3 linked regions of the Arabidopsis thaliana genome follow. The protein of the gene in region 1 purifies or fractionates together with the protein of each later gene. This does not show direct contact. Each region holds a gene or a part of one and is shown in the gene's direction. Other genes may lie near its edges.

Region 1 (9,829 bases):
CGTTAGGTCCTTTTATTTTGTTATATTTACATAAATCTCCTTTCTTTCTCCAGCAACAGAGTGTATTCTGCTCGATAATAAATTGGTAAATCACAACACAAAAAAAAAGTGTTAAGAGATCCTTCTCCCTCTTCGAAGATGAGCGGTACGGTGAAGGATATCGTTTCAAAGGCGGAGCTTGATAACTTGCGCCAGAGCGGCGCACCAGTCGTGCTTCACTTCTGGGCTTCTTGGTGTGATGCTTCGAAGCAGATGGATCAAGTTTTCTCTCATCTCGCTACTGATTTCCCTCGTGCTCACTTCTTTAGGGTTCGTCTCTGTTCTCTTGACCAATTCAAAATTTTATCACTTTCAATGAGGTTTTTGACTGTTATTGGTTTTATCTTCTTAGGTTGAAGCTGAGGAACATCCTGAGATATCTGAGGCTTACTCTGTTGCTGCTGTGCCTTATTTCGTCTTCTTCAAGGTAAAGTTACGTTTTTTTTGTTCCCTATGATTTGATCAAAACTTAGGATTTAGGGTTTTTGTTTTTGCTTAAAGTTGTTTGTCTAATTTGGTAGAAGAAGAAGACATTGATGAAGTCATACTTATTGATTCTTTATGTTGCTTTGTTTGGTTGCAATTTTCTGTCTTTATAGCATTGAGAGTGTGTTCAAAAGTTTGAATCTTTGTCCCTATGTTTTGATCGAAAGTTTAGGATTTAGGGTTTTTGTTTTGATTAGTTTGCGTCTCTGTTAGATTACTGAAAGCTGTTTATCTAATCAGGTAGTAGAAGAAGATGGTTCGCCTATCCATTTAGCTCCAGACTTATTGATTCTTTGTTTTAATTGGTTGGTTGCAATTTTCTGTCTTTATAGGATTGAGAGTGTGTTCAAAGCTTGAATCTTTGTCACTGCACTGTAATGATTGTTCTGAAAGTTGTTACTTTCTTCTGACTGTGAATTCGTTTTCTTATTGAAGGATGGTAAAACTGTGGATACACTTGAGGGTGCAGATCCATCAAGTTTAGCTAATAAGGTTGGCAAAGTTGCTGGTTCTAGTACTTCTGCGGAGCCTGCTGCTCCTGCAAGCTTAGGGTTGGCTGCTGGGCCAACGATTCTTGAAACTGTGAAGGAGAATGCGAAAGCTTCTTTACAAGACCGAGCTCAGCCTGTATCTACCGCCGATGCTCTCAAGAGCCGTTTGGAAAAGCTCACTAATTCTCACCCTGTCATGTTATTCATGAAAGGTATTCCTGAAGAGCCTAGGTGTGGGTTTAGCAGGAAAGTAGTTGACATTTTGAAAGAGGTTAACGTTGATTTTGGAAGTTTTGACATACTATCGGATAACGAAGTGCGAGAGGGTTTGAAGAAATTCTCTAACTGGCCAACGTTTCCTCAGCTGTACTGCAACGGAGAGCTTCTTGGTGGAGCTGATATCGCAATAGCGATGCACGAGAGCGGTGAACTAAAAGATGCTTTCAAAGATCTTGGGATCACGACAGTTGGTTCAAAAGAAAGTCAGGATGAAGCTGGAAAAGGAGGAGGGGTTAGTTCAGGAAACACAGGCTTAAGTGAGACCCTCCGAGCTCGGCTCGAAGGTCTGGTCAATTCCAAACCAGTTATGCTGTTCATGAAAGGAAGACCAGAAGAACCAAAGTGTGGGTTCAGTGGGAAAGTGGTTGAAATCCTCAACCAAGAAAAAATCGAGTTTGGGAGTTTCGATATCCTCTTAGATGACGAAGTTCGCCAAGGCCTTAAAGTGTATTCAAACTGGTCAAGCTATCCTCAGCTTTACGTGAAAGGCGAGCTTATGGGTGGATCAGACATTGTCTTGGAGATGCAAAAGAGCGGTGAGCTGAAAAAGGTCTTGACCGAGAAAGGGATCACTGGAGAACAGAGTCTTGAAGATAGATTGAAGGCACTGATCAATTCCTCGGAAGTAATGCTATTCATGAAAGGTTCACCAGATGAACCGAAATGCGGATTTAGCTCCAAAGTTGTGAAAGCATTGAGAGGAGAAAACGTGAGTTTCGGATCGTTTGATATCTTGACTGATGAAGAAGTAAGGCAAGGGATTAAGAATTTCTCAAACTGGCCAACTTTTCCTCAGCTATACTACAAAGGTGAGTTAATTGGAGGATGTGATATCATTATGGAGCTAAGTGAGAGTGGTGATCTCAAAGCAACTCTATCCGAGTAAGTAATATATACAAGTCTCTGTCTGCTGGTTTGCCTTGGTGAGAGAGAACATTTCAGTTATGGTAATAATATGTTTTAGGTGTTACAAACATTGATATTGTTGCTTCTCAAGCTTTGTCTTGTTATTTCTATTGCTGAGTCTATTAGATTCATAACTATTTTTCTCTCTTTGTATCAACATAATCTTTATTTATGGTTATCTTGACCACATTTGCTTTTAGACTGAGTAACAAAACAAAGAGTGGTTTAAACAAAGAAAGCTTGATCCGACGGCTAGGATTAACACCAATCTTTCTATGTTACAGAGTTTCTTAAGATCCGACGGCTGGGATTTTGTGTGATTAAACTCAAATTTCTTAGAATCAAACCGAATGGAAATCATTTGTTTAGAGTTTAGACCAAACTGCAATCGAGCATTAACCGAGACTTTGTACATTTAAACAAGATTTAAACCAAAAGTCATCATAATTTTAAAATTGATACTGATATTGACAATTAGTTAAATATTAAACTAAAATGGTTTTGGTTTTACATTTCAATGACTTTTAGCCAAAACCGAACCATAATTTTACCAAACCAAATTTAACATTCTCCAAACCAAATAAAGAACCTGTATAAACCGAGCGGACACTTAAACCGGAAAATAAAATTAAAATTCGGACAAAGAAATTTCGTTAAACCCTAAACCCCAAAGGTCTTGTTTGCTGTATCTCCTCCATCGCTCCTGCGCCGCGTTTTCTCTCTCAAGCTCTTAAAAAACCTTTCTTTGATTTGATAATCCTAAAATCGTTTTTCCGAGGAAACCCTAATTTCTTGTTCGAACTCGAAAGATGGGAATTTTCGAACCGTTTAGAGCAATAGGTTACATAACGAGTACGGTTCCGTTCTCCGTCCAGCGATTGGGTACCGAGACTTTCGTCACCGTCAGCGTCGGCAAAGCTTTCCAGATTTATAATGTAACGCTCCCAATCTTCATAGTTTCACTTGCGTGTTCTTTATTCATTCGATTCTGTTGTTAATTTGGTTCTCTTGTTGCAGTGTGCCAAGCTCAATCTAGTCATAATCAGTAAGTTTTTCCTTCTTCTGAAACCTAAAGTTTTGTCCTTTCAATCATTCTCTTACTCAAATTCATGCATTTAGAATTGGGTTTTGTCTATGCAGTGTAAATTTTCTTATAATCTAATTTGTGTTATCTTAAAGGTCCTCAGCTTCCAAAGAAAATTAGAGCTTTAGCTTCTTACCGAGACTACACATTTGTTGCGTTTGGCAATGAAATCGCTGTCTTTAGGCGTGCTCATCAGGTATATCTCATTGTAACTATAGTTAAGTTGCTGCTTTTTTTATATCTATGAGTACTTTGTTTATAGTTGGAATTCTTGTGGGTATATCTATAGGTAGCAACTTGGAGCAAACATGTTGCTAAAGTTGATCTTCTACTGGTGTTTGGAGAACATGTGCTTAGTCTTGACGTGGAAGGAAATATGTTCATATGGGCATTCAAAGGAATCGAAGAACATCTAGCTCCAATTGGAAATCTTCAGCTTACTGGAAAGTTTACCCCTACCTCTATTGTTCACCCAGATACCTATCTCAACAAGGTGAGTCATACTTGGTTCAGGATTTCAGTTTTTTTTCCCCTGGTGTCTTCTGTTGACAAGCCTTTCTAACTCTTTGCATGTTTCTCTTACTTGGAACCACATTGGTAGGTTCTTGTAGGGAGCCAAGAGGGTCCGCTGCAGCTATGGAATATTAATACTAAGAAGATGCTCTATCAGTTTAAGGGTTGGGGTTCATCTGTCACCAGTTGTGTTTCATCCCCTGCCCTGGATGTTGTTGCAATTGGTTGTGCTGATGGAAAGATCCATGTACATAACATAAAATTGGACGAAGAGATCGTAACATTTGAACATGCCTCGCGAGGTGCTGTTACTGCTTTGTCTTTCAGTACAGGTAAACACCTAAGCCCTGTAGTTCTATTTGTAAAATCTTTGAGCGCTTCTTGGTTTTATTACCTTTTAAATCTAATTTCGTAGCGGATAATAGTTTATCAATCTTTTCTTGCTGATAGATATCCTATGAGTGTAGTGACCAAAAATAATTTCGTCCATTTGTCTTTAAGTGGAGCTAAATATTTATTTTTCCATTACATAGCTTTACCATCTATGCACCCATTGTTTCATGAATTAGAATTGTCCATACATGTTTCAGGCTCAAGAGATCCATTAGTGTAGGTTGTAATTTTACTAGTAACTTTTGGTAGTAACCGTTCTATAGCTAATGGAAGTTCGATACTTTCCAGTTCTAACATGTGTTGTTTATCCTGTCATGTTAGATGGACGTCCCCTTCTTGCGTCTGGAGGTTCCTTTGGTGTCATAAGCATCTGGAATCTTAACAAAAAAAGGCTTCAGTCAGTCATTAGGGATGCACATGACAGTTCTATAATCTCATTGAACTTTTTAGCCAATGAGCCGGTGCTAATGAGTGCATCAGCAGATAACTCACTTAAAGTAAGCTAAGATTCCTCTTACCCGTTGAACCTATTTGCATCCACTTTGCCACATATAATATTTGTTTTATGCCTCGTTCCTGTAGATGTGGATTTTTGACACAAATGATGGTGATCCTCGCCTATTACGCTTCCGATCTGGGCATAGTGCTCCTCCTCTATGTATCAGGTAATTAGCTTGACGTCCACATCATACTGAATTATCTGATTGCTTCCATTTAGCTTTTCTTTCGTTATTGTGAGACTTTATACATTTTGGTGTGTAAGTAGCATTTATGATCCCTATTCGTTGTTAAAGTAATTCCATTTATGATCCCTGCCAGTTGACTATCTGTGTAGTGATGAATATTTGTGTTTCTTAATAAGAGTATTTACTTCATGGTGGCTATATCGAGGGCATGCCAATAAAGGGTCTCTTAATCATATCTGACTTCTACTTGTGGTAGGTTCTACTCTAATGGACGGCACATTTTGTCTGCTGGCCAGGATCGTGCCTTCCGCCTGTTCTCTGTCATCCAGGTAAGATACGATACAGATTTAGTAACCAATTCTATATCGAGATTTAATACAACTAACTAGCATATTGATAGTCTGTAACTTTTGAGCTATATTGTAGACATTGACTATTCATTTGTCACTTTACAATCACAAATGTTAGGAAATTAGTCTTCCTTGGGCATTGAACAGATAATCATAAAAGATTGTTGAGTTCATTTTTGTCATATTAATTAATTAATTAGCAATCATTTTCCTCATCATGTACTGTTTAGACGCAAAGTTTAGTTTTTCTTATTCCGTCTTTCATTCGCCATATCTTACTGTTATTTTGATGGGTATTTTTTCACCGACCTGTTTGTTTGATTTTTTCATGAATCTGATTGTTCTCTTAAATGTTGAGTTATTGTTTCTTAATTTGTGGTCTGTATTGTTACTAAAGATCTGATGTCCATTGACGATAACAGTTTTTAATTTACATTAATTACTTCATCAGGAGCAACAAAGTAGAGAGCTTTCTCAAAGACACATTTCTAGGCGAGCCAAAAAACTCCGACTGAAGGTATAGCCAAAGGATTTCTTTTAATTTTATTCAAGTTTTCCATGGCCAGTTAGCATGCTTCAAGTGGTTCTGATTCAATTTAACAAATGTTATACCTTATGTATACTGTGTTTTGATATTTTATGTGTCCGTAGTAATATGTGTGCTTGGAAATTATATCTTTTTCGCTTATATTCTTTTTCCTCTATATGTAGGAGGAAGAGTTGAAATTGAAGCCTGTTGTTTCATTTGATTGCGGTACGTATCTATATAACTTGATCTTTACTTTTCATGTAATTATGTTGCTTGGTTTCTTTCAGTCACATTCTTAATATTATGATGTCTGAACAAACAAGACTAAAAAGTAGAAACCAATTGATTTCTACAAAATGTGTTGAGCAGTAATTAGGTCCAAAATGGTTGGCTCTCAATAGTGAAAACGTTTATTGGTTGAACCCCATAGAGAAATTACATTTTGTGAAGTGAAGCTTACATCTTACTTTATGTTGTCCTATGAATTTGCATGTTGATGACGAGAAAACTGCATCTCCCACAACTTATATTATTGTCTAGTTATACATCCTACTGACTGTTATTATTTTTTTTCCAAAAATTGAAGCTGAAATTAGGGAGCGTGATTGGTGCAATGTTGTTACTTGCCATATGGATACAGCAGAAGCATATGTATGGAGACTTCAGAACTTTGTACTTGGAGAGCATATCCTCAAACCATGCCCTGAGAATCCAACACCAATTAAGGTTCAAAATTGAAATTATATTTACTTCTGACACTCTTCTGAACAAGAAAAGTAGACGTGCTTTAGTCCTTATAGGTGGGAATTGATTACTGTGAGAACTTGGAATTTGGATTATTGACCCCCCTTGAATAACCAATTCTACAAAAAATGAGTTTAGTTACAGTTCCTTATAGCATGTTCAGGGGGTCTTTGTATCTAGGAACCATCTTCTTTTAGCAATACTGGTCTTTTTCTTCTCTCTAGTGGTTGTTGATCTCTTAAAAAATTGCTTGTCTGATAGGCATGTGCAATCAGTGCCTGTGGAAACTTTGCAGTAGTCGGAACAGCTGGTGGATGGATTGAGAGATTCAACCTCCAATCTGGAATCAGCCGGGGTAGTTACTTCGATATGTCAGAGAAAAGAAGGTACGCCCATGATGGAGAAGTTATTGGAGTTGCTTGCGACTCCACAAACACACTCATGATTAGTGCAGGATATCATGGGGACTTAAAGGTTTGGAATGTTTTCTTGTTCTTTCTTTAAGTTATTAATTACTTAGTTGATATGGTTACCTTCAACATTAACTCTAGTTTATGAGTCAAATAGACTCTAATATTTCATTTGTGTAATACAGGTTTGGGATTTCAAAAAGCGGGAATTAAAGTCCCAGTGGGATGTCGGATGTTCGTTGGTTAAAATTGTCTACCACCGTGTAAATGGTAAATTTTCCTAATCTAACCCTACATTTTCACTTGTACGATCTCACAAATGTATCATTTTCCGTCATTTTCTCCTAGGGTACCACCGTATTGACTCTGACTTTGCTAATTTCTTATCAATTGGTAGGTCTTTTGGCTACAGTGGCGGATGATTTTGTTATCCGTTTATATGATGTTGTGACACTAAAGATGGTTCGTGAATTTAGAGGTCATACAGACCGTATAACGGATTTGTGCTTTAGTGAGGATGGCAAATGGGTCATCTCATCTAGCATGGATGGAAGTCTTAGAATATGGGATGTCATATTGGCTAAGCAGATTGATGGTGTGCATGTCGATGTGCCAATAACAGCATTGTCTTTATCACCAAATATGGACGTTTTGGCAACTGCCCACTCTGATCAGAACGGGGTCTACTTGTGGTAAATTCTCAAATCAATCTTCAGTTCTCTCATTTACTATTACAATTTCTCTGTGATTGTTTGATGAGTTCACTCTCTCCTCTTGTGACCTCTCAGGGTTAACCAATCCATGTTCTCTGGGCTTCCAAGTGTTGAATCTTATGCTAGTGGGAAAGATGTCGTAAATGTCAAGTTGCCTTCAGTCTCTGCATTGACATCTTCTGAAGCTGATGATGATATGGACAGGCAAGTGTTAGAAAATTCTGAAGCTCTACAAGCTAGCAGTTTCTCAATTTCCCAAAAGCAGATCCCAGAACTTGTTACTCTGTCTCTATTGCCAAAAAGCCAATGGCAGAGTTTGATCAACTTGGATATTATTAAGGTATGCATATTCTTTTTCTTCTCAACTTTTTATTGATGGTTTGTTTCTTTGTTGCGTCTTCCAGTTACAATTTATATTTGATGTTGTTTCATAGGCCCGCAATAAACCAATAGAGCCTCCAAAGAAACCTGAAAAGGCTCCTTTTTTCTTGCCCTCAATTCCCTCGCTGTCTGGAGATATATTATTCAAGGCAAATGACTCTGAGGCTGATGGGGAGAATGAGGAAAATAATAAAAAGGACCAGAATAGCATGAAGAACTTTGATGCATTGGAATCTCCATTCTCAAAACATCTCAAGTCTTCATGGGATTCAAAACACTGTAAGTGATGGTATTTGTTTAAGTTTTACAGGTTAATCAAAGCTTTTCTCGTCAATGTACAATACGATTCTTAGCTCCATGTATGTTTTGCAGTTTTAGATTTTACCAACTACATGAAGAGTTTATCCCCGTCAGCTCTCGACATGGAGCTTCGGATGCTTGAAATCATAGATGAAGATGTTGAAGAAGAGCTTATCAAAAGACCTGAGTTTATATTGATTGGGCAACTTCTGGATTACTTCATCAACGAGGTCTCTTGCAAAAACGACTTTGAGTTTATGCAGGCGGTTGTGAAACTATTTCTGAAGGTAAATGTAAATTTCATTTCCAGTATAACCAAGGAATCAGTTTCTTACAGAGACACCTTTAGGTTACAAGAATCTTGACTCTTAACAAAACTCGGTTTATCTGTTGACAGATCCACGGTGAGACCATAAGGTGCCACCCGAGTTTACAAGAGAAGGCGAAGAAGCTTTTAGAAACTCAGAGTTTGGTGTGGCAGAAAATGGAGAAGCTTTTCCAGAGCACAAGATGCATAGTTACCTTCCTTAGCAATTCACAGTTTTGAAGAAGCTTACTAACTTATTGCTCTGTTTTTGATGTTGCTCTGTTTTTTCACAAAAATAGCAATTTTGAAGAAGCTTAATATATTGCCCTGTCTTTTAGCATTAACATGTATCAAATGGAACATGTCAACGTTATCCTGAATTGGATGATAGGGTTTAAATTCCGTGAGAAATCATAAAATCTGCAACCTAAGATCACAGATTTGTCCTCCAATAAAGTTGAAAAAATCAACCCTCAAAACAAAAATACTAAAATAGAATAAAAGAAGAGTTTGATGTAAGAAACAAAGAAAAATTAGTCAGACTTTGAGAGCTTCCTCTTCATTCTGCTATAAGGACCAACTGTTGTATCCATAATATACATATAAATCACTTGTGACCATGACTTATACGACTCCAATCCTTCATAATACTCTCCTGCAATCTCCTTCACCAAATGCAGCTTATTTCCCGGTATCCTCGGGAAATCGTGATGCTCGTTATGGTAACCAACACTCCATGTTAGTAGATTCAATGGACCGTAATACGAATAAGTCTCTTGATTCGGGTTAAAAACATAATGTTCCGAGATAAAATGTCCCGCCATTGGATGCATACCGCCTCCAACAAATGTCGATAAGATTAGATACGCGAAAGATCTCCATCCGAAGAAGAGAACAACTGATACATCTAAAACAATCTGAATCAAGAAGTTGATGAACTCCCAGTAGCCAGGTGGTTTTGGTTTGATGAAGATAGGACGAAGAGCGTAAAAGAAGAGTTGTAAGAAAACCCAAATTGTTTTGGCAAAGATATTGGTTACTAAATGAGCTTCGGTGTAAGTAGGAACATCCATGTCAATACCATCTACTCCTTGGAACCGATGATGCTCGAGATGGTATTTTTGGAAAGTTACTGACATTGGTACACCGATTGGGAGATTTGCGAAAATACCGAGACAACGATTGTAGACAGGAGTTGAAAAGGCAAGGTTGTGACTT
Region 2 (7,761 bases), on another chromosome or scaffold:
AAGATATGGGAAGACTACATTACTTTTTGGGGATTCAAGTGCAGTTTCATTCAGAAGGAATGTTTCTCTCCCAACAGAAGTATGCAGAAGATCTTCTTGCTGTGGCTGTGATGAGTGATTGTGCTCCAATGCCTACTCATCTGCCACTTCAGTTGACTGCTATACCTGCACAAGATGAAATCTTTGACAATCCAACATATTTCAGAAGTCTTGCAGGTAAACTTCAATATCTTACCTTAACAAGACCTGATATACAGTTTGCTGTTAACTTTGTTTGCCAGAAGATGCATGCTCCAACAGTGTCTGACTTCAATCTGCTCAAACGAATTCTGAGGTACATCAAGGGAACTATAACAATGGGGATCTCCTTTAATAAGAACACATATTGCAGATTGAGAGCTTACTGTGATAGTGATTATGGAAATTGCATAGACTCACGAAGATCCATTGGAGGTTACTGTACCTTCCTTGGTACAAATATCATCTCATGGTCCTCACAAAAGCAAGATTCAGTCTCCAAAAGCTCAACCGAAGCTGAATATCGAACTCTGTCTGACACTGCCTCGGAGGTAACCTGGTTAGGATCTGTTCTCAAGGAATTGGGCATTCCTCTACTTGACACTCCAGAAATCTATTGCGACAATCTCTCCTCCGTGTATCTCTCTGCGAATCCAGCTTTCCACAAAAGAAGTAAACACTTTCAGCTACACTATCATTATGTTCGAGAGAGAGTAGCACTTGGAGCTCTGATTGTGAAGCACATACCTGGTCATCAACAGATCGCGGACATCTTCACCAAATCTCTCCCCATCAAGCCGTTCTGCGATCTTCGTTACAAACTAGGCGTCGATGTTCCACCTACGCCGAGTTTGCGGGGGGCTATTAGAGAGAATGCATCTTGTGTTGAGACAACAACTCGGATTGGTGAAGAGAAGAACCAGATCAGAGCTGTGATCGGACACGAAGCAGAGGAATCTGTAAAGGTAAATTCTTCAGATGACATTATCAAGAAGGTTCTGAGATTGGGCCAAATTGAGAATGCAGCAAACCTCAAGCCCAATAAACAACAGGCCCAAGCGCAGACCCTAAACAACTCTCAGCTCCAACGGTCATCTCCTGCAAAAGAAGACAAAACCAAAAGTACATCAAGATTGGATCAAAGGACAAAAACAAGGAGCTGTGCTGGAAAAGAAGGAGTGGTTTTACAAAACTGTTTTGACTGTCTAGGATCAATAGAGACCTGACATGTGTCAGTGAAAACCCTAGTGTCACTAAGATTATAATGCCTATGAAAGGAAACATGATGTAATCTTAAACCCTAAAGAGAATAATCAAGAGAAATGAAATTTATCTTCTTTATATTTAGCCTTTGAGCATCTTTACTTTCATTGGTTAAGAGAACACTGAAAGCAACAATTCATATGTATAAAAATCTGAAAAAATAATTCAACATTCTAATTCATTAAACGTAGGATTTACAAAAGTCCCACTTTGTCTCCCATTTTTAGTCATCGTTCATGATGGTTGTATGCGAATAGTTTGATGAACAACTATAATTATTACATTTAGTTTGTTTCCAACGAGCCATATGTCAATGTTTGTTACGCTACAATTTTTATTTTTCTTATTTCTTAAACTTTTTACTTTGGAATAAGTTGATATGTATATGAATCATCTACCATTTCTCGTTTTTTCACAATAAATCCTAAATTTTTTGAACATTTTGTCTATATATAACTTTTCCATGACATAAATTAACCTTAGATAATATTGTATCTAAAGGTATAAACTACCGTTCCAAGTCTGATTAAACTATTGACCCTAAACATTTTTAAAACTGTTAGATCCACAAGACGCACAACTAGTTGATTGCATAGTCTTTTGAAACAAGACAAACAAACACTATATCAAAACAATATCATCTTTCTAATTTTATTTTAGTTATGTCGCTATCTATATGAACGATTTTCCGATAAGCTAGTCATATGCAAAAGATTTATAAAAAAAGTAATATGTTGACGAGGAAAGTGATAGATTGATAAATTAAGAACATAAATGTTTTTGAAAAGAAATTATAGCTAAACTGTCATAAAATAAAATTATAAAATAGATTAACTTATATATAATAGAAGCAACTTCAGTTTTTTAAAACATTCATGGAATTAACGATGGATATCGAAGTTTATTGGTCAACCTAAAATCATACCCATACATTTTAGTATTTATTGGACGACCTCAAAAATCAAAGTCATTGTCGACCATTGTAATACAGTTAATGTCGCATACTATGCCTCTGAATCATCCATCCATATTTTGTTAAAACGAAGTGAGTTTGTTAACTACAAAATTTCCAATTATTGGACTATACATTATATTTTGTTTATCCACAGGGTTTTTCACATAAATTAAGAAAATACAAAATACTTAAGATCTTGAAAAATTATGTAAGTTATTTTCTTGCCGTCTCATTTTATTAAAGATAAAACAGAAAAAATAAACAAACAGGCCGAGGCCCAACAAGGTCAAGGCCTAGTCCAAGAAGCGAAACCCAAACATGGAGGAAGAGAATGAGAGGAGTCATCACAGAGCCAGGTGTTACGAAGAAAGTGAAACTACAAGTACAAGCATATAGTACTAAGTACTAGTCGCAATTTGGTCACAGACATAATTTCCTCGAAAACTGGGTACATTGTAATATTTCGTCGGAAAAACGTCGCAAAATCTAATTTTTAATCGCCGAGTAAGATGTTTGCGTCTTCTCAGAATCTCCGTGAGTTGAAGGAAAATGATTCGCGGCGGAAGAAACAACATTACTTCCGCTCCGGCGTTTTCGAAAGACGCAAAGAAGCTTCTTTTATGCACAGCCAACACCGTCTCTGTTTACAGCGTCGCCACTGGCTTAAAGGTTTTATCTCTCGACTCGAGCATCCTTCCTTTTAGGGTTTCCCTCTAATCTTCTTCTCTCATTAGCGTATGCGTGTGTGTGTTTTTAAGATTACTTCACTCGAGGATCATACAGCGCCTGTGACGTCTGTGATTGTTGATCCGTCTTCCGACGAAACCGTCAGTTACTGTTGGACTTCGTCGCTCGATGGGAAAATTCGGATTTGGGAGTTCTCTGCGCCGAAGCTTTTGAAGATATTTGATACCCACCTTCCAATTCACTCTCTGGTCTGTTAAAGTTCCATACTTTGCAGCTTATAAACAAAAATTTGATAACTTTCAATTGCCCTTTTCTAAGTGTCTGTTGGGACTTTGTAGGTGATGATTCCAGCTCAAGTGTCACATTCCGTGATTGCTTATGTTTCGGTTGAGGACTATTCAAGTGTGTCCAAAGATTTGTTTGGACAAATCCGGAGATATGATCTCACTCAAGACCCTCTTCATAGTGGAGACACTTTGAAAGAGGTCAGATTTGTGGATTAACCATTTTTCGATTAGCCTCATGTTTGATTCTATAATCATTTTTGTTAATGTGCAGATGGAAGAACCAAAACCTATTGTTTTAAGTCCCTCTGGAGAGTTTTTCGGCGTCTGTCATAACTGCAGTATACATATATGGAATGTGGCATCAGAGCACCTCATGCCAAAGGAGACGACATTACATCATACAGAGTTGATTACTGTTTTTGCTTTCCATCCCAATCAGAGAATATTAGCAGCCGGTGATGTAACAGGAAGAGTGTTAATTTGGAAGGATAATGGTATTGGAGAATTTACTTCAGTGAAAACTGAAGATGATACTGAATCTTGCACTACTTTCAACTGGCACAGCGCTGAAGTAACCGTCCTTAATTTCTCTTCAGATGGAGCACTTTTGTATTCTGGTGAGTCTGAGTTATTTTTTCATCATAGTGACTGTATCTCTGTGTGTTGATAAGGAATTCATGTTTCTTATATATATATATATTGAGTTCTTATGCTATATTTCCTTTGCTTGTGACTCTTTTAGGGGTAAAGGCAGGTGATTTTGTTGTTTGGGAGCTAGGTACAGGGAAGAAGCAACTTTTGCCAAAGATTGGATCTCCCTTGTTGTATTTCATCTTCTCTTCAGATTCAACTCTTTCTTCTGTAAGAGTTTTTCCGTTTACAACAACCGTAGAAAGCAAATGAAGTGTTTCATTAACTCTACTAAGATCAAGAATTTTCAGGTGATTTGTGCAGATAATCAAATTCATCTTCTTAAAATGCCTTCCATGGAGATATTGAGAACGATATCTGGAATCAAGGTTCGTTCTTACTATCATCCGAAATTTTTCCTTGTTATTGTTGGTTTAAGCATGCTCATATTGTATACCGTTTCTGTTGGAGTTAACTTCACATGCATATTGTGTTCTTTACTATGTAATAGCCTCCGACACCAGAGCGTCACGGGTTTATATGCTACGTCAAAACGCGGGATATATGCCTCACCAGAACTGTATCCATTGATCGTTCTTCCGGTATAGCTGCTTTCTGCACAGCGAATCATCGTGTTCAACTCTACAACCTTTTAAGTGACCATGACATTTCAGAGGTTAGCTTCCCAAAAGGCTTATTGAGTTTTGTATCTGATAGTTGTATGATTTTACTATTTAACAAACCTAACATATGCAGGTTCAAATTTGCGATCATCATCCAGACGATGATGATCAAGTCCGGGTTAGTACATTTTGTTTCTTCTCTGTAAGATGACATAGTTGTTACTAGTAAAAGATCCGCTCTCTTTCTGTTTTGTAATAATTTGAAGAATTATGGAAAATAGGTTCTCGTGACTGCGGTTGCTCTCTCTCGGAATGGCTCAGTAATGACTACAGCTGAGGCCAGATTTGCTGCAAGCAATTTCAGTGAAGGCATAGTTTCTCTCAAGTTTTGGGTATTTGTACCGGACAGCAAAACTTTCAGCTTATCGACAGTCATAAATCAACCTCACAGGTTTTTACTTCAATGTTCTTATAAACTTTTAAACTCCTTGATTCTCATCGTGAGTGTAACTTTTGATCCTTCTGTATTCTCACAGGGAAGCTGCAATTACAGCCATTGCCCTTAACCCCGCCCGTTCCATGGCTGTTAGTATATCTTCTGCTGGGGACTTCAAGGTAGGATTACAGAGTAGTGAAAAATGGATCATTTCCTTGGAATATCGTTTGACCTTTTGTGTTACTGATATGACTTTATGTCTGTCAAGATTTGGGTTTGCAGTAGCGACAAGAATCTGACACCTGAGGACTCAAACTGGATTTGTCATGGAGTTGGCTCTTATAAGTAAAAGATTAGGAACCTTTTAACATCTCTCATTACTTAGTCGTTGTGATGTCAAATGAAATTGATGTAATATTTTTCAGGAGAACGCCAATAACAGCTGCTGTTTTTTCCGGGGATGGTTCTTGTCTGGCTCTTGCGGCTAAAACAGTTATTACGATCTGGCACCCGTTAAAGAACGAACTCCTGTATGTAGTTGGAAAGGCAAATGCGGTAAGACTTGTATAACACACAAAAGCAATTCCATGTTCATTAGTTACAGTCATTGTTGAAATCTTAAATGATATGTAAATGTTTCAGCCAATTATGGAACTCTCATTCACTGGAGGAGGCTTCCTTATTGCTGCATCCCATGGTTCCACACCGCACTTATCTGTCTGGGATCTGATGACGTTCTGCTTATCATGGTCATATAGATTATACATAGAAGGTTTATTATTTATCTTTTTGATCATGAAATCTTGATTTTTTTGGTTGTCTAAGTATATTTCATTTTTCCTGTTTATTTGCAGCCATTGCTACTGAAGTGGACTCACCATACTTTGCAGTTTTAACATGGCTTCCAGAATCTGATAGGTTGGTAAAATCTAACGAACAGATATTCCGCGGGAAAGATGGTGCTATCCTCTTGTTTGATGGGTCAGGCCCTAAACCAGTAGCTATTTGGACTGTAATGAAGGTATATACTCTAAGGAAGGATTAATCAAAGTTCTCTCATTGCCGTTAAGAGACTTGATTACAATGTTTATTGCAGGCCAGAGGAGGAACACTTTCATTTGTGGAAGATGGTAAAAAGTCTCAGCCGCTTCTCGCGTATGTAAACAGGAGCCATGAATATGTTCTATTTGATCCTTATAGCGATGAAAAACTCGAGACTAGCGCCATAGATTATGAAGTTTTTCTTGCAGCAATAAGCAAAAAGAAGAAGAGATCTAGGAAGAAAGCATTGATGTCAGAGAAACCTTGGGAAACAATGTTTTGTGGATCAACACTCAATTTCCCGCCTTTCCCCGACTTGTGCGCTTCGTTCTTCAGTTCCCGGATGCAGAAAGAGGTGTGTGAGAGAGCAGATAGACAACCTGAAAGACATAGCTCTTGAGAGACCCCATATTTTGGAACCCAACTTGGATAACATCATTTTGTTGGTAGCCTTTTTGTTAGAGATACAATCTGATTCCTTCAGCTACTAAAAGGGTTGTTTTGATATTAAAAGGGCTTCATTCATCATGTAGAACCTGCTGATTTGAGGTGTATAAACCAATTCTCTCTTTAATACGTAAAAAAGTAAGGTCAATTGTAACGTATGGAAAAAGAAGAAGCTAAAACAGAGTAGTGGACGATAAATTATATTTAAAATTGTGACTGAAACATAATTTAACAAATTGAAAAACATAAATCGAAAGCAATTTGTGTTTTAAAGATCGTAGTCCGCAAGGTTGAGTGGGTTGCAAGTATCCTAAGTCGTATGTGGTCAAGCAGGAGGATTCATGGAGGCTGCAGGAGGAGACATCATCGGTAGGAGGGTCTCGGGGTCAAAGCCGTTGGCTCGTAGTAAGACATCTTGCGCTCGCTTCATCGCAAGCATGTTGTTGATGACGTTGTTGGAGAAGGTGCGGAATTCAGCCTCCAAAATGGTGACCCGCATATCCATGTCTAGGTTAGGCTGGATGTGCTGGTACTGAATTGAGCCAAGTCCGTCGTAGTCACACCCTTTGGTTGATGTGACGTGCTGCAAAAGAAACGAGTATTATAGAGATGGCCTTCAAACTTGGTGAACAAGAAATCACAAGGGAGAGAGAAGAAAACAAAGATAGATAGACCTCATGGGAACGTTCATCAGAATTGGCCCGGAGAAGATGAAGATCGGCAAGGATGTGTGTCAAAATGGAAGCCCTAAAGAAATCAGAGAGGGTCTTCTCTAGCTTCTCCATTTTCTTCATGAGATATAACTGTCGAATCATATTCCAACGATTGCATGTTAAGAATTTGTCCATGAGTTTCTTGCCCTTCTCTAGAGACTCAAAGAGTATACGGATTTGAGCCTGGCGGTGAGCAGGCAGCTCAACTCCACTGTACTGGATCTCTTTGATCGTCGGTTGAATGTTCTCGATCAAGGTGCTGAGGTTGTCGGCTGTGTTTTTGTACCGGCCTGCTCTCGCAGATATCAGAAAGAGCTGCTTCAAAAGCTCCGTCGCTATCTCACCGGCGAAATAATCAGTGACGGCCATTTAGTAAAGGATATGTTAAAGAGAAAAAGTGTGGAGATAGAGAGCTGAGAGACAAGGGGATATGAACTAATTAATCTGTATAGAGGAGGAATTCACCGGTGGAAGTTTCCTAGCAACTCGAAGTGACAAGTGACATCTCCATATAATATTTGTTCAAGAGTTCAATGAAGAAGAAACAAGGAAATTAATGAGAAGGTAGACGTATATTTTATTTTGGCATATTGTCTTGTTTACAAATTTTTAATTAAGGTTTCTTAGAGTCAAATTACTGACATATACACTGACGTAATAT
Region 3 (7,668 bases), on another chromosome or scaffold:
GATGAACCTTCTCATGCTTTGGTGGTCATTTCTGTGTATGATCGGTCTAAAAGTTTCTGGTTTCTTGAAAAGGATGGTACAGAAGCTTCATCGCAGACTATGGAGTTCCTTTGATGGTTGTGGTTTGGACAGCATTGTCTTTTAGTACACCATCAAAACTCCCCTCTGGTGTCCCGAGAAGACTCTTTAGTCCTTTACCATGGGACTCTCCTTCTTTATCACATTGGACTGTCATCAAGGTTACAAAAACACAGTACACTAAAGATAATTGATTCATCATCCGAGCCAAACTTAAAGTTTTAATACATGGATTTGGTCTGTACAGGACATGGGAAAAGTCTCTCCGGGTTACATATTTGCGGCATTTATACCCGCATTGATGATCGCAGGGCTTTACTTCTTTGACCACAGCGTTGCCTCGCAGCTCGCTCAGCAGAAGGAGTTCAACCTCAAGAAGCCTTCAGCGTATCACTATGACATTCTCTTGTTGGGTTTCATGGTATAATCAATCAAACTACCTTTACAACATTGAAAATATATGTTAAAATCTCTAAAACTTTGTCTTTGTTTCAGACGTTGATATGTGGATTGCTAGGTCTGCCTCCTTCAAATGGAGTCCTCCCTCAGTCTCCTATGCATACCAAAAGCCTTGCTGTTCTTAAACGACAGGTTTAATTACTTCTCAGTTGTTGATCCACTCACTATTCAGGTTAAGCTGGTCTTAATGAACCTGTTTGATTTTCAGTTGATCCGGAGGAAGATGGTAAAGACAGCCAAAGAAAGCATCAGGAAGAGAGAAACATCCTCACAAGTGTACGAGAATATGCAAGAAGTCTTCATAGAAATGGATAAAAGTCCACTTGTAAGTAGTAGACTCATAATTCAATGTTCCGGTGAAAGAAAAATCAAGATTTAATTTAGAATAATCATAAGCTCTTGCTTTTAAAAACCAGGCTCAGACAGATCCATCAGTGATAATTGAGCTTCAAGATCTGAAAGAAGCAGTAATGAAGAGCAATGATGAAGAAAGAGAGGGAGACGAGGAGAGTGGTTTTGATCCAGAGAAGCACCTTGACGCTTACTTGCCTGTTCGAGTCAACGAGCAGAGAGTTAGCAACTTGTTGCAGTCACTGCTTGTGGCAGGTGCAGTGTTGGCTATGCCGGCCATTAAGCTCATACCGACTTCCATTCTATGGGGATACTTTGCTTACATGGCCATCGACAGCCTCCCGGGAAATCAATTCTTCGAACGCTTAACGCTTCTCTTCGTTCCAACAAGCCGGAGATTCAAGTATATGTTCTGAAAATGATCTGTTTTTTTTTTCTTCAAGTTATTATTATTCAGATTTCTCTTCAAAGACTGATCATGCATTGTTGTTTTCAGGGTCTTGGAGGGAGCACACGCGTCGTTCGTGGAGAAAGTTCCTTACAAGTCAATGGCTGCGTTCACACTGTTGCAGATATTCTACTTTGGGCTGTGCTATGGGGTGACGTGGATTCCGGTGGCTGGAATCATGTTTCCGGTTCCTTTCTTCCTCTTAATAGCTATCAGACAGTACATTCTCCCGAAGCTCTTTAACCCGGCCCATCTCCGAGAACTCGATGCCGCTGAGTACGAGGAAATCCCCGGTACTCCGAGAAACCCGCTGGAACTGTCTTTCCGGGTTAGTCCATATCTTAGCAATATCTACATTTTTGAGGATCCCGGACTTTGGACTAAACCATGGAGGTTTTCTTGTCATCTAAGGCATCTACAGTGACCTAAAATATTTGAATTTGTTGAATTTAATGCCAAAATAAACTTGTTTTACAGTCGAATGACTCGAAGAGAGGCGTCCAAGAAGGCGATGCTGAGATTTTAGACGAGTTAACGACAAGCAGAGGCGAGCTTAAAGTCCGTACATTGAATCTTAACGAAGACAAAGGCAACCAGGTTTTGTTTTGTTATGCATCCTTGATATGAATCTTAACTTTGTGAAAAGAATTATAGACTCAAGATCGCTGTTAAAAACCTGCAGATTTATCCCAAGGAGAAAGTAAAAGCAGGAGACGGGGACATGAGCACGACAAGGGAGTGAGTGAATCAACAAAAAGAATCAGAGATTATTCTTTCAAGTGATGATCATGATCATGATCATACGCAAAACTATATAGTATTGTAGAACACAGATTGTATGTGGCTTTCTTTTTTTTTTTGGTTCTTAAACCTAAGATGATGTGTGTGTTTGTCAATATAGTCTTCTTAGCAATGAAAATCGATAAAGAATTAACACAGCGAGAATGTTACGGATATGTAACGTAACCTTCCAAGAAAAGGTACTAAATTTCAAAAAAGTCAATGTGTTCCTCATAATTTCAATCTATGAGTCAATAATCACTTTACCATAGACTAAAATTCATTTTGTTAACTTTTTGTGTAGAAGAAAAGCAAAGGATAGCTTCTCTTCTATGGTAAAGATGCGAATCTGTAGTTTGTTTGATGTTCTCTGCAAAATTCGCATGTATAAAATTAATTAAACGTTTAGAAATATAATAGATGAACTTTATAGTACAAAGGATCCGTGGCGCAATGGTAGCGCGTCTGACTCCAGATCAGAAGGTTGCGTGTTCGATTCACGTCGGGTTCAAATATCCCGAATCTTGATCCTTAATTTTTTTTTCCTCTTGGGCTTACTACGACTACATAAGGAGGAAGCCCATATATGCCCAACAACTAAAATCCAGTTCATAACAGAAACCCTCGTTAAACCTAACGCCGTAATTATCGCCTCCGGCATATCAATCCTCCGCCTTCTCATTCTTCTCCAGACGCCATGGAGTTCCGTTTCGAGAATCTTCTTGGCGCTCCTTACAGAGGCGGGAACGCAGTCATCACTAAGAATACTCAGCTAATTTCACCGGTTGGTAATCGTGTCTCCGTCACCGACCTAAGTAAGAACCATTCGGTCACTCTTCCGCTCGAAACCTCTACCAACATATGTCGCCTCGCTTCCTCACCCGACGGTACTTTCCTACTCGCCGTCGATGAACAAAACCGATGCCTTTTCATCAACTTGCCTCGGCGGGTAGTTCTTCACAGAATTACCTTCAAGGATAAAGTCGGTGCCTTGAAGTTCAGCCCTAATGGTAAGTTTATCGCTGTTGGAATTGGTAAGTTGGTGGAAATATGGCGATCACCTGGTTTCAGGCGAGCTGTTTTGCCCTTTGAGCGGGTTAGGACTTTTGCTAATTCTGATGATAAAGTTGTCTCCTTGGAGTGGAGCTTGGACTCTGATTATTTGCTTGTTGGCTCAAGGGATTTAGCTGCTAGGTTGTTTTGTGTTAGAAAGTTGAAGGGTGTTTTAAATAAGCCATTTTTGTTTCTGGGTCATAGAGATTCTGTTGTGGGTTGCTTCTTTGGTGTTGATAAAATGACTAACAAGGTCAACAGGGCTTTCACGATTGCAAGGGATGGTTACATTTTTAGTTGGGGCTATACTGAAAAGGATGTCAAAATGGATGAATCAGAAGATGGCCACTCTGAGCCACCGTCACCTGTTACTCCAGATAGGGCTGATGAGGTGATGGTGGAAAATGGTGGTGGTGTTGGTACTGAGCTTAAGAAACGAAAAGAGTATGACGGTAAAGGTCTTGAATCAGATGAAGAAGGAGATGATGATGATGAAGAGTATATGCACAGAGGAAAATGGGTTTTGTTGAGGAAGGATGGGTGTAATCAGGCATCAGCAAAGGTGACCGCTTGCGACTATCATCAGGGACTTGACATGGTTGTGGTGGGGTTCTCAAATGGTGTTTTTGGGCTTTATCAGATGCCAGATTTCATCTGTATCCATCTGCTCTCTATTTCTAGGCAGAAGCTAACAACAGCTGTCTTCAATGAGCGTGGTAATTGGCTGACCTTTGGTTGCGCGAAACTTGGGCAACTGTTAGTCTGGGATTGGCGAACCGAAACCTATATACTGAAGCAACAAGGACACTATTTTGACGTCAACTGTGTCACTTACTCACCGGATTCGCAGCTCTTGGCAACTGGTGCTGATGATAACAAAGTCAAGGTAATGAAATTTCATAGACTTAACTGTTATGTTCTATACCATGCTTCTCATCTATTTCTGAATTTAACCAGCCCGTTTTTTATTATGTTACATTTTTAAGGTGTGGAACGTTATGTCAGGAACATGTTTCATTACATTCACCGAGCATACCAATGCCGTGACTGCTCTTCATTTTATGGCTGACAACCACTCCCTCTTAAGTGCATCTCTGGACGGCACTGTTCGTGCTTGGGATTTTAAAAGATACAAGAACTATAAGACATACACAACCCCTACACCCCGACAATTTGTTTCCTTAACAGCAGACCCGAGTGGTGACGTCGTCTGTGCTGGGACCCTAGATTCATTCGAGGTAATTCAACTTAGGCCCTGAAGGATTTCAGTCACCTACTCACAAATACTTTGGTGAGGTGAATCACTTTATGCTTGCCTATGTGCAGATTTTTGTATGGTCCAAGAAGACTGGGCAAATAAAGGATATTCTGAGTGGGCATGAGGCTCCTGTTCATGGGTTGATGTTTTCTCCCTTAACGGTAAAGAAACTGTCATAGTCTCATACTTCTTTTAGTCAAAATACAATTTGCTTCGTGCCTCTGAACAATTATGTGAACTTCTGCCTTATGGTGTTATAACTTCCATGCCTTATCTAGTTCATATATTTCTTTCTCTGCAGCAACTTTTAGCTTCATCCTCATGGGACTATACAGTTCGGTTGTGGGATGTGTTTGCTAGCAAAGGCACCGTGGAAACGTTTCGACACAACCACGATGTTCTAACAGTTGCTTTCCGTCCTGATGGGAAGCAATTAGCCTCGAGTACGCTAGATGGGCAGATCAATTTCTGGGACACCATTGAAGGTGTGTTAATGTACACCATAGAGGGGCGGAGAGATATCGCTGGAGGTCGGGTCATGACTGACCGTCGGTCTGCAGCTAATTCAAGTTCTGGAAAGTGTTTTACAACATTGTGCTATTCCGCTGATGGAGGGTATATTCTAGCCGCAGGAACTAGCAGATATATTTGCATGTATGATATCGCAGATCAGGTTAGCTAACTAGCTCCTCTTGGAGTTCAGGTTTTCTTAAAGCTTGTGTTCTTCTGATAAAGAAACTTAGTCAAAGTGTCTGGAATATCACCTTTTCAGGTTCTTCTGCGCCGGTTTCAGATATCCCATAATCTTTCGTTAGATGGGGTTCTGGACTTCTTGCACTCTAAGAAGATGACAGAAGCAGGACCAATTGATCTGATCGATGATGACAACAGCGATGAAGAAGGTGGCATTGATAAACAGTCGAGAGGGAATCTGGGTTACGATCTGCCTGGATCCAGGCCTAACCGTGGCAGGCCCATTATCCGGACAAAAAGCCTCAGCATTGCCCCAACTGGAAGGAGCTTTGCTGCTGCAACAACAGAAGGAGTCCTCATCTTTTCAATTGACGATACCTTCATCTTTGATCCGACCGATCTAGATATAGATGTTACTCCAGAGGTGAGCCTTTTGTAAATCGCTGATGGTGGTTATAGTTCTGATTATTGGTTTTGAAATGTAAAGCTAAGGTGTTGTTTGTGTAGGCTGTTGAGGCTGCCATAGAAGAGGATGAAGTTAGCAGAGCACTTGCTCTAAGTATGCGTTTGAACGAAGATAGCCTTATCAAAAAATGCATCTTCGCTGTAGCCCCTGCAGACATAAAAGCTGTTGCCATCTCTGTCCGCCAGAAATACTTAGAAAGGCTTATGGAAGCTTTGGTGGATCTGCTTGAGAACTGTCCTCATCTGGAGTTCATACTTCACTGGTGTCAGGTAATGTCTCGTTTTCTTCTCTTTTTTGATAAATCTCTGCTCAAATGCTCTCAACTTAATCAAACTTTGTGTTGTCTTTTTATGTGCAGGAAATCTGCAAGGCTCACGGAAGCTCCATTCAGCGGAACTACAGAACTCTATTGCCTGCACTGAGATCGTTGCAGAAGGCGATCACCAGAGCCCATCAGGATCTGGCAGATATGTGTTCTTCCAATGAGTACACGCTTCGCTACTTGTGTTCTGTTCCAAACAATCATTGATTATGTTTTCTGCATTATGTATCACCGGAAATTTTCATCTTCCTTTTTCGGTTAAACAAATTTTGAGATTTTGATATATGAGTTTCTAACATCTGAATACAAAATGGAGCAAAGAAATTAAACAGTTTGCAGGCAACCATAAAAAGTACGAAGAATGTGAATAATTTGATTTAAGCAGAGATTTTTGAATAGGCAAAAGATGATCCTAGCTATGAAGACTTCACTAACAGAAGCTAACATACAAACAATATTAAATTTATGCCTAGAACAAGAACTGATGTCGCTACAAGAACATTACATTATGATAAAAATCAAGAGACATCAAAACTTTTGGAAGAATTCCTCATAGACTCTGGCACTCAGAATCTTCATGGCGTCCATCTGGGATACATGGGGGCATGGAACTCCAGACGGGGTATGTGAGCCGGGTAATTGTCGGTGCTTGCACGGCTCTCCATGGACGCACCAAGAAACAGATTATGCACCAACGCATCAAAGTTGAGATCAATCATGGGATGACGATATGGAAGCTGATGGAGAGAAGTCGCCAACAATCTCTGTTCTGCATCCCATCTCTGACGAGCGTTGAGCATTTCAATGTACTCCGCCTCTCTCTCCAACTGCTCCCACATGTGTTGCTCCCAAGGGTCTAACTTTGGCGGTGTAAAACCAGGATGCTCAGTTTTCAAGTGATTTTTCAGCTGCGCATAGGTCCCTGAGAAATCGCACTTGTCAACAGTACAACACCTCGGTCTAGCATTCATGAATCTCCGAGCACAAGTCGACTTCATAGTCCCCTGAACCTCTCCTCTGCAGTAGGGACAATGTAGAGTCTTGCCACTACAACGGCTTGAGCTGTTGCTTCTGCGGTACTGCTTGAAACAATTGGAGTGACGAGCGCTTGTATCACACATGTAAGCACGACATCCTTTGGAGAAAGAAGAGCATTGCAAGAGGACAGCATTGTGAGGAGGCTCCATACAAATCACACACCTCACATCCTCCCATTCACTAACACTCTCTAACTCAACAGGTGACGACGACGCCTCGACTTCTTTTTGTTTCTTGTTCCTGCAAGAGCGAAGCGGGTATGGCGATACTCTATTTCTGTTGCTAGAAACCGGCATTTTCCCTCTTTCCTTGTGCATCCCACACACTGAAATCAATAGAAACGAGTGTTAATTCACACAACAAAATAACACAGATGAATATGAAAGCCAAAGAATCCATAATCCATTACATCCGAATAGATACAACCCAAATGTTAAACAAAGATCAAGGAAACAGAACAAGGACGAGCTCAAATCAGTCTATATTGTACGGTATTCGAGCATGAACATAATCCCACTGAAAACTACATTCTCAGCAGATGATAATCAAACAAGAAAGAGACAATTTTTTTTTAATTTATTGATAAAATAAATTGAAACTATTAACTTATCGGAAACAGTTCTAGGGGTTCTCAATCATCGGATCAACGCATAAACATTCGATTCATCAGGAGATTTCAAACGACGAAACAGATCAATTCGATTGCAATTCGATAATTATCG

What was found. The genes of interacting proteins can lie anywhere in the genome.
Region 2: the proteins of AT4G04940 (region 1) and AT3G26480 fractionate together in Arabidopsis thaliana (co-fractionation; one large-scale study listed by BioGRID). This does not show direct contact.
Region 3: the proteins of AT4G04940 (region 1) and PWP2 fractionate together in Arabidopsis thaliana (co-fractionation; one large-scale study listed by BioGRID). This does not show direct contact.

The regions. Positions count from the first base shown.
Region 1 is NC_003075.7:2,510,234-2,520,062, reverse strand, and holds AT4G04940 (transducin family protein / WD-40 repeat family protein), read left to right. Parts: upstream 1-2,845; 5' UTR 2,846-3,010; coding exon 3,011-3,136; intron 3,137-3,218; coding exon 3,219-3,246; intron 3,247-3,359; exon of another isoform or gene 3,360-3,380; coding exon 3,381-3,481; intron 3,482-3,574; coding exon 3,575-3,778; intron 3,779-3,886; coding exon 3,887-4,130; intron 4,131-4,512; coding exon 4,513-4,688; intron 4,689-4,773; coding exon 4,774-4,856; intron 4,857-5,133; coding exon 5,134-5,206; intron 5,207-5,678; coding exon 5,679-5,744; intron 5,745-5,938; coding exon 5,939-5,981; intron 5,982-6,342; coding exon 6,343-6,482; intron 6,483-6,761; coding exon 6,762-6,974; intron 6,975-7,095; coding exon 7,096-7,180; intron 7,181-7,307; coding exon 7,308-7,602; intron 7,603-7,698; coding exon 7,699-7,963; intron 7,964-8,057; coding exon 8,058-8,283; intron 8,284-8,376; coding exon 8,377-8,591; intron 8,592-8,701; coding exon 8,702-8,851; 3' UTR 8,852-9,035; downstream 9,036-9,829. Other genes in the region: GRXS17 (thioredoxin family protein), read left to right, coding at 139-309, 392-466, 961-2,181; DES-1-LIKE (fatty acid desaturase family protein), read right to left, coding at 9,145-9,829.
Region 2 is NC_003074.8:9,685,852-9,693,612, reverse strand, and holds AT3G26480 (Transducin family protein / WD-40 repeat family protein), read left to right. Parts: upstream 1-2,646; 5' UTR 2,647-2,785; coding exon 2,786-2,905; intron 2,906-2,994; coding exon 2,995-3,171; intron 3,172-3,261; coding exon 3,262-3,408; intron 3,409-3,481; coding exon 3,482-3,827; intron 3,828-3,952; coding exon 3,953-4,071; intron 4,072-4,151; coding exon 4,152-4,229; intron 4,230-4,351; coding exon 4,352-4,516; intron 4,517-4,596; coding exon 4,597-4,641; intron 4,642-4,744; coding exon 4,745-4,914; intron 4,915-4,999; coding exon 5,000-5,078; intron 5,079-5,167; coding exon 5,168-5,244; intron 5,245-5,324; coding exon 5,325-5,454; intron 5,455-5,541; coding exon 5,542-5,671; intron 5,672-5,753; coding exon 5,754-5,920; coding exon of another isoform or gene 5,921-5,944; intron 5,945-5,970; exon of another isoform or gene 5,971-5,995; coding exon 5,996-6,340; downstream 6,341-7,761. Other genes in the region: AT3G26470 (Powdery mildew resistance protein, RPW8 domain-containing protein), read right to left, coding at 6,713-6,970, 7,062-7,469.
Region 3 is NC_003070.9:5,304,606-5,312,273, reverse strand, and holds PWP2 (periodic tryptophan protein 2), read left to right. Parts: upstream 1-2,715; 5' UTR 2,716-2,813; coding exon 2,814-4,055; intron 4,056-4,155; coding exon 4,156-4,407; intron 4,408-4,495; coding exon 4,496-4,588; intron 4,589-4,728; coding exon 4,729-5,100; intron 5,101-5,199; coding exon 5,200-5,544; intron 5,545-5,627; coding exon 5,628-5,855; intron 5,856-5,944; coding exon 5,945-6,115; 3' UTR 6,116-6,247; downstream 6,248-7,668. Other genes in the region: BOR4 (HCO3- transporter family), read left to right, coding at 73-239, 326-499, 574-669, 746-862, 954-1,291, 1,385-1,664, 1,814-1,933, 2,019-2,078; AT1G15430 (hypothetical protein (DUF1644)), read right to left, coding at 6,484-7,263. UniProt on the Arabidopsis thaliana protein: Involved in nucleolar processing of pre-18S ribosomal RNA. Plays a role early in ribosome biogenesis, especially in the maturation of 5.8S rRNA. Required for guard cell functions.